Linked DNA regions of Ovis aries. The main gene of each other region encodes a partner of the protein of the gene in region 2 in a complex. Links are inferred from orthologs where the notes say so. Each region holds a gene or a part of one and is shown on either strand. Other genes may lie near its edges. The genes, in order: SMAD1 and SMURF1.

Region 1 (4,264 bases), on a different chromosome or scaffold from region 2:
ACTCAAGTTTATTCTTTTTCCAATCTAACCAAGTTATTAAACCCAGAATTACTAGAAATCAAAATTACAAACTGCAGTTTAGTTTTCAACTAATAAATGTATTTGGAAAAATGAGATACTTCCTTTTAATGCTTCATTGAGCTTAGTAGAAAACTGAATTCCAAGAGGTATAAATTAACATTTTAAATGGCCTAAGAATTGTCAATTCTCTAAAATGCAAAGGTCATCAGCTCCTCAGGGGTATAACACCAAAGGACACTGAAAAAAGGAAAAATGTATTCTGTTACATACCTATGGCTGGAGCGGTCAAAACTAAATCAAGGACAAATCCCTACCCTCAGAAGAAACCTGATCCTGCCCGGATCCTCCAGAGGCTTTGGCATCACCCACCTCTAGAAAACCACCTCCCAAGACCCTGGTTATAGTTTCCTAAAGAATTGCAATAGTGCACAAATGTACACCACCTGCACAGAAATATCAAATAACTGCAAACGGGAAGGACGGAGGGAGAGGAGAGCACAAACACTTAAATCAGTTACAGCATATTCAGGCCTGACCCCTCCAACAGAGTAACACTGATGCAAAATATTTAAACCACTGAAAAATCCCGGGGCTGTGAACATTGATTCGGTCCCGATTCTTTTTCAATCATGGCTCCAGTACAGCTCACCTACCTCCAATAAAGCATCACGCGGTTATTAGAAACAAGATGAAAACTCAACAGAGCGCAGAGAACAGTTTTCTCACTGTGTTCCTGAATGTAAGCACGCTATCCACGGCAGGCCACGAGAGCGAGAAATGTTCTGAAATCAAGGCATTCTGCTATCGAGCGGCGTGCTCAAAGTTTCAGCAGCAGAAACAGCACACCGAGAAATCAGGCAACTTCTGTGTCATTCCACCTACTCAAGAAACTTCAGCTACAATGGCAAGAGAACCTCAGGGGAAACAAACAGGGGCCGGTTGTCACAGCCCTTTCGACAACGATGCTTTCTCGGGAGATGGCTGGGAGACGCGCCCGGATTTTCAGAAAGGGAAGTGCCTTACCGGCGATCTTGCAAGTGCATGGAAACAACGTCCGCGCCGCAAAATAAACAAAAGCCGCAGCTACTGTAGTTGTAAGATCCTGCAGGCATCGGTTCCCCAGCCCTTCCCAAAGTACATCAAGAAAACGCTCTCCCTGGAAGCCTTCATATATAAATATATATAAATCAACTAGAAAAACAAGCCCACATCTCTTTCACACCCACCACCCCCACCTTCCCGCAACAACAACCCCGAGAAACACTTAACAAAGACCGAGCGCAGAGTAAATGAACAGTTGTTGCACCGCGAACTCACAAACACACACGCAGTGAGGCAATCGAATCCGGGAAAGGGAAAGGAATGAGACGACACTCTGAGACTTGGCGCGGGGGAGGGGGGGTAGGCGGAAGAGAAAAAAAAAAAATTTACACGCCGCCGCCGCCAGACCTTTGAATAAATTAGAGGGAATTTCGGTGCGAACTTTCCTTGACCTCGACCCCCAAGAGGCTAGTGGGGGCAGAGGAGGGAGCCCGCCCCGCACGCGGAGGGACCCAGGGCACCGGGTGTCCCCCTGGCGCAAGCCCGGCTCCGCGGAAAGGGCAGCGCCGGCGGCCGCCCTCCGACTCCTGCAGGGGTCGCCCGGGCCGGCGCGGGACACAATGGGCCCGCGGGCCGCGCCGAGTGCCCAGGCCCGGCTGCAGGAAGGGAAAGGGAAACCGGCGGAGGGGGAGGGTGGCCGCAGAGGGCCGGGCGCAGCCAGGGCCGGGAGCCCGGGAGCCTCGGAGCGCGGTTCCGCACCGCAGACCCAACAAAGACGCGGGGGGCACCGCGGCCCGAGCCCAGCCCGGCTGGTCCGGCGCCGAGGGAAAAAGGTGGCAGGTTTGCTCCTTTAGAGCGGCCGGGAGGCGCCATCATGGGCGGGGGTGGGGGTCCCCCGATCCGCCCCACGCGGGGAAGAGACCCCCCTCCCCGCCGCAGTCCGCGCCACCGGCCCCGCGCTCCGTCGCGGCCACCCGGCCCGCCCGCGCCCGCCCCAGCCCGAGGCGGCGGCGCTGGAAAGCCCGGAGCGCCGAGGGGAGGGCGGGGACGCGGCGGAGGGGAAAGTTGGGTTCGGGTCTGTTTCGTTTTACCGGGTTGGCTGCGCGCCCATCCGCGCGGGCGCACGAGTTGGCCGGGCGAGCCGGGTCCCCCGCGGCCCCGGTCCGGGCGACCGGGAGCTGCGCCGCGCTGCGCTCGCAGGGTCCCTCCCCGAGCCTCGGCCCGGGCTCAGCGGCTCGGCCTCTCCTTCCTCCGCCCGCCCGCTCGCCCGCTCGCTCGCTCCCGGAGCCTGGATTGATCTGGTCGCGCTGGCGTCAGGGAGTCGGAGCCGCCCAGCCTCCACTCCTCGGCTGCCAATACTCGGCGCACTCGCCCGCCCGCCTGCTCGCTCGCTCACACGCGCACCCGCGCGCCACCGCCGCCCGACCAGGGATCCTCTCCAAATTCCCGGCCCTGCCGGCGCGAGCGCTGAGCCCGCGCCGCCTCCCCCGCCTCCAGCCCCACGCCCCGCTTGTTCCAAGGAGAAAACACTACTGCCCCTGCCTCCTTGAGTCCAGGGGGAACCGACTTGTGCCTTACCTGCCGGTGAAGTTTCGCTTTCAGTGTTTATTTCCGAAATGTTCATCTACACTCCCACCGTGCCCACCGAACCGCATTGGAAACGCAGAGTGCATTTTGACAATTACCTTTCGAGCCTCGCCTTTTTACTGTCTAGTTTTCCTTGCCCTTCACTTACTCAGTGATTTGCAAGCCCCAAAAGTTGCTCGTACGCAGAACTGGATAACCTAATGACTATTGCCTGTGTTTATAGCAAACCTTGAATCAATCAATACGTGTGTTTTATGCCAGTTCGGGATCTAATGATGCCAGTTGGTTACCTCGTTGCTCCAGATGACAAATACCACAATATAACTTAACAATTTTTCCATCCAGTTTCTAAGTCTTTCAAATGTCACGCACGAACTTCCCCAAATAAAACGAACTAACTCCCAGCAACCTGATCTGCATAGACATTGACAGTGTCTTTTTGTAAGATTTAATTTTTCTCTTGGCCAGCTCTCTGTAAGCTGGCACGAAATCTTGGATAATTACCATAATGATGAATTATGTTTAGAGGCGAATAATTATTCTGAGGAATAAATTTCACGTGTACCAAAAGAACCATTACCACCAGTATTTTTAGAAAATTAATGGTACTCTCCAATTGTTCGTGTACTTTTACATGTGCACATTCATTTAAAATTCTTATTAGCTATTTTATTATTTCTGCATTCCATGTTTAATTATTCAAAGGAAATGCAACAAGTCCCCCGAAATATGTAAACCGTGTTTATACACAGATCAGACTATTTCTGCTAATTTCTTCATTAAATGATTTGAGCAATTACAGATCAATTCTTGGGCCTCATCTCATTTTCCCTAAAATCAACATTTGACACAATTCTTCATTCTCTACTCCTTGAAACAATAGTTGGAGTGAGCCTTGTTAAATGCCACTCTGATCAGGTCATTCCTCTGCTCAAACCCTCCTTTGATAAAGAGAGTATGCTATATCCATACAATGGAACATTCAGTTCAGTTCAGTCGCTCAGTTGTGTCCGACTCTTTGCGACCCCATGAATCGCAGCACGCCAGGCCTCCCCGCCCATGACCAACTAACTCCCGGAGTTCACCCAAACTCATGTCCATCTAGTCGGCGATGCCATCCAGCCATCTCATCCTCTGTCGTCCCCTTCGCCTCCTGCCCCCAATCCCTCCCAGCATCAGAGTCTTTTCCAATGAGTCAACTCTTTGCCTGAGGTGGCCAAAGTATTGGAGTTTCAGCTTCAGCATCAATCCTTCCAACCAACACCCAGGACTGATCTCCTTTTGAATGGACTGGTAGGATCTTGCAGTCCAAGGGACTCTCAAGAGTCTTCTCCAACACCACAGTTCAAAAGCATCAATTCTTCAGCATTCAGCTTTTCTTCACAGTCCAACTCTCACATCCATACATGACCACTGGAAAAACCATAGCCTTGACTAGATGGACTTTCGTTGGCAAAGTAATGTTTCTGCTTTTGAATATGCTATCTAGAGTGGTCATAACTTTCCTTCCAAGGAGTAAGCGTCTTTTAATTTCATGGCTGCAATCACCATCTGCAGTGGTTTTGGAGCCCCCAAAATAAAGTCTGACACTGTTTCCACTGTCTCCCCATCAGTC
Region 2 (3,084 bases):
TTATGTGGTGGTTTCGCTGGAAAAATATTTTGAATTGGATAGACAATGTGGCTAAAGGGACTCTGAAAAGGAAAGATCATTTTTCTCTCTGCAGAACAAAGTTTTCAGCCAGGAAACCCTGAAAAGAAACACCCAGGCCTCCAGCGCAAGCCGCTCCAACTTGTGTCCCCTTCCAAACCGGAAGCACAGTCTTGACGCCAGCTTCCTGCAGTGGCGGAACTCCAGCAAGCATCTATTTTACGGTTACTGTCAGTTAGAACTTAACCTGCTACCCAGAGCAGGCCGCTGGACGGGGGGTGTGGAATCCGAGCTGCTGAACTCAAAAAGGGGCCTTAGGTCGGCTTTGAGACAGAGCAGCAGGTCCAGCTGTGGGGTGTGCCCCGGGCCGCCCCACGCAGCTCCCTCCCTGGGGGTCGAGACTCCTATGGAGCCCACGGGCACTGAGCTGCCACTGCGAGTGCTGCGGCCTTAGTGGAGGGTCCCGTGTGACCGAAGCCGTGCTGACCTGGCTGCGTTTATTGGATGGGGTGGATGTGGGGGGGGTTCCTGCCAGGAGGGGGAGAATGTGGGAGGAGCCACCAGCCGCAGTCTGCCCGCCCCCTCGCTCCCCCAGCGAAAAGCAGGGGAGACCAGCCTTTCCCTCGGGTTTCTAGGATTCCAGGGCCTCAGCCGGCTTTACAGAGGCATCCAGAGAGCTGCCGCTCGGGGTCTGGTGGCCGTGAGCTTGTGTCTGCTCCTCGGGGTGCACCTCACTCCACGGCAAAGCCACAGGTCTCCTCCACCGCCGTCAGCAGCTTCTCATAGAGCTTCTCATACGACTCGTAGGGCGGGATGTCGATCCGGTTAAAGCTGGAAACAGACAGAGGTGAGACACACCGCCGAGCTGGCCTGGCCGAGGGCCTGCTCCCGGGAGAGGGGCGAGGGCGGGCGGCTGAGCACTTGTGTGTACACCTGGGGCTTCTTGGGCAAAGATTTTCAAACCAGTGAAACCAGGTGAGTGCATCCTGGGCAGATTAGGACAAAGCTGTCACCTCGTTTGGTTTCTTGTTTGGGGAGAAGTCACTTCTCAGACCAGGATCACAGCTGCAGAGCACCGTGGTCTAAACCCCACTCTTGGCTCACTGCCCGGCACCAAACTCTCCAGGACCCGGGCTAACCACAGCTGGCCAGTCCGGAGTATTTCCGGCAGAGATAGACTGTCTCTCAAAACCAACAAGATGGCAGATCCCCAACGGGATTAGATGAACGGGCCAGCATTTCCTCAGGGATGTTCATTCCCAAGGCTGTGTCCAAAAGCCCTAAGAATCTATTTACCTCACAATGAATCCAAAACTACAGAATTCTGACTGAGAGGACACACAGAGGCCTCTTGCACTACTAGGGGTTAAGCCATTAGGACAGTTTCTGAGGAGGCGTCAGGCTACAGGGTGTGGAGTCTTTTTCAGGGGTCCTTGACCCCAAGGACATAAGCCTGCTGGGGTGGGAGAGGTGGCCCTGGGGGTCGACCCCGCTGGACACAGACTCACGTGGGCCAGGGGGCTGTCCTCTGTCTCACAGACATGGAGGCCCACCCACTTGGATGTCGTGGTCAGCGTGGGACCCCCAGCCCCGGTTCCCAGCCAGGAACCTCCCGCAACGTCACCATGCGTCCCGGCAGCGTCTAGAACCGGTTCTGGTCAACTGGAGGGACACTCACGACGTGGTTCACAAGGGTGAATGAGTGAATAGATTTTTAAACCACAAAGGGACTAACCCCACTACAAGTATTGTTTAAGTGAAGACTGAGGGAGGAAACATTTTTCAGTACACAAGGACGTCTGGCACAGGCAGAGGTCCAAGAAGGAAGAGACCAGGAACCCCAGACTTAAACCTGCAGTGCCCCCTCCTGACGGCACCGGTACGCGCACGCACAGGGAAACACGCACACAGGGACACACACGCACACACGGACACGCACACACACGCAGCAGGGGTCGGGGAGTAGCTCCAAGGTCAGCCACGTCTTGGGACTTAACTGCGCTCCTGAAAGAGCCTCGTGCTGACCCTGACGTGTGGGCTGCCCCGCAGACGGACCCCCAGGGTGGGGCGCCGGTCCTTACCAGGTGTGGGCTTTGGGCAGGTTGTCCGTGTTGGCGTCGATCAGGTGGATGGTGAAGAGCCGGGGCCCTGCGGCGCCTGTAGAGCCTTACGAGACCACAGTCTAGTTAACACGCTTCAGAGGTGGGGCCCAGGCCCCCTGCCACCACCCGGGGCCCCCTGCCCGTCCTGCCAGACGGTGTCGGGTGCACATAACCCTGGGAGCTCTGCGCAGTCTCGGGATATGCACATGGTGGCCACAGAGTGACTAACATCAGACATTCTAGGAAATTCACGGGCGCAGAAGAGCACAGACAGCTGTCCTCTCACAGCCGACCGTGAGCCTGCCCCAGGGCAGGCGTCTGAAAGAATCCTTAAGTCACCAGGAATTTGTTTTTAAAACCAGGAATGTCTAGCAAGCAGACCCCCTGCTGGCAGCGGATGGCAAGCGGGTTCTGGAGTCAGGAAACCCCCTGTGCAGAGGCCGGTGGGAAGACAGACAGACACAAACACCAGGACCAAAGCCCCAGGACAGGAGGGAACGTCTCAGTCCAGGAGGGCCTCAGGCTAAGGACAAGGCTACAGGGAACGTTTGCGTGAAACCTGCCCGCTCTCACTAGGAACACGTGAAGTCCACTTACTAAGTTTTAAGATACTAGTATTCTCAACCTTCTGCCAGGGTTATCAAGTGACAAAACCCCCAGATTTAGCATCAGCGCGCAGGAGAGGCCCTTCCCGGGTGGAGGAGCCACCACAAGCCCCACAGCCCCTTCTGAGCTCAGCTGCAATACTGTGCACGGCCGCCCCCAGCCCCCTTCCCGGGGACCCAGTCTGAGCCGAAAGGGACACCTGGGAGGACGGCTCCCTGCTGGACAAGGCAGCCGACCAGGCGGGCCAACGGATGAGGGGACCGAGGGCCCAGCCTGCACAGCGTGCTTATGCGCTCGCTCGGGAGAACTCTGAAGTTGACCCGAGCGCTTTATAGCTGCTTTCCTCCCCCAACGCCAT

Evidence for each region.
Region 1: the proteins of SMURF1 (region 2) and SMAD1 are in contact, whole or in part, in an NMR structure (PDB 2LB1), measured with the Homo sapiens proteins. The link is inferred for Ovis aries from reciprocal best matches to the Homo sapiens genes SMURF1 and SMAD1. Residues at the interface, in NP_065162.1 of Homo sapiens: Glu313, Val314, Arg315, Ser316, Arg321, Tyr323, Val325, Asp326, His327, Arg330, Thr331, Thr332, Gln333, Phe334; in NP_001003688.1 of Homo sapiens: Asp221, Thr222, Pro223, Pro224, Pro225, Ala226, Tyr227, Leu228, Pro229, Pro230, Glu231, Asp232.

Annotation. Positions count from the first base shown.
Region 1 is NC_056070.1:12,882,585-12,886,848, forward strand, and holds the start of SMAD1 (mothers against decapentaplegic homolog 1), read right to left. Parts: upstream 2,840-4,264; 5' UTR 2,641-2,839; intron 2,363-2,640; exon of another isoform or gene 2,154-2,362; intron 2,087-2,153; exon of another isoform or gene 1-2,086. UniProt on the Homo sapiens protein: Transcriptional modulator that plays a role in various cellular processes, including embryonic development, cell differentiation, and tissue homeostasis.
Region 2 is NC_056077.1:37,691,020-37,694,103, reverse strand, and holds part of SMURF1 (E3 ubiquitin-protein ligase SMURF1), read right to left. Parts: intron 2,185-3,084; coding exon 2,100-2,184; intron 850-2,099; coding exon 750-849; 3' UTR 1-749. UniProt on the Homo sapiens protein: E3 ubiquitin-protein ligase that acts as a negative regulator of BMP signaling pathway. Mediates ubiquitination and degradation of SMAD1 and SMAD5, 2 receptor-regulated SMADs specific for the BMP pathway.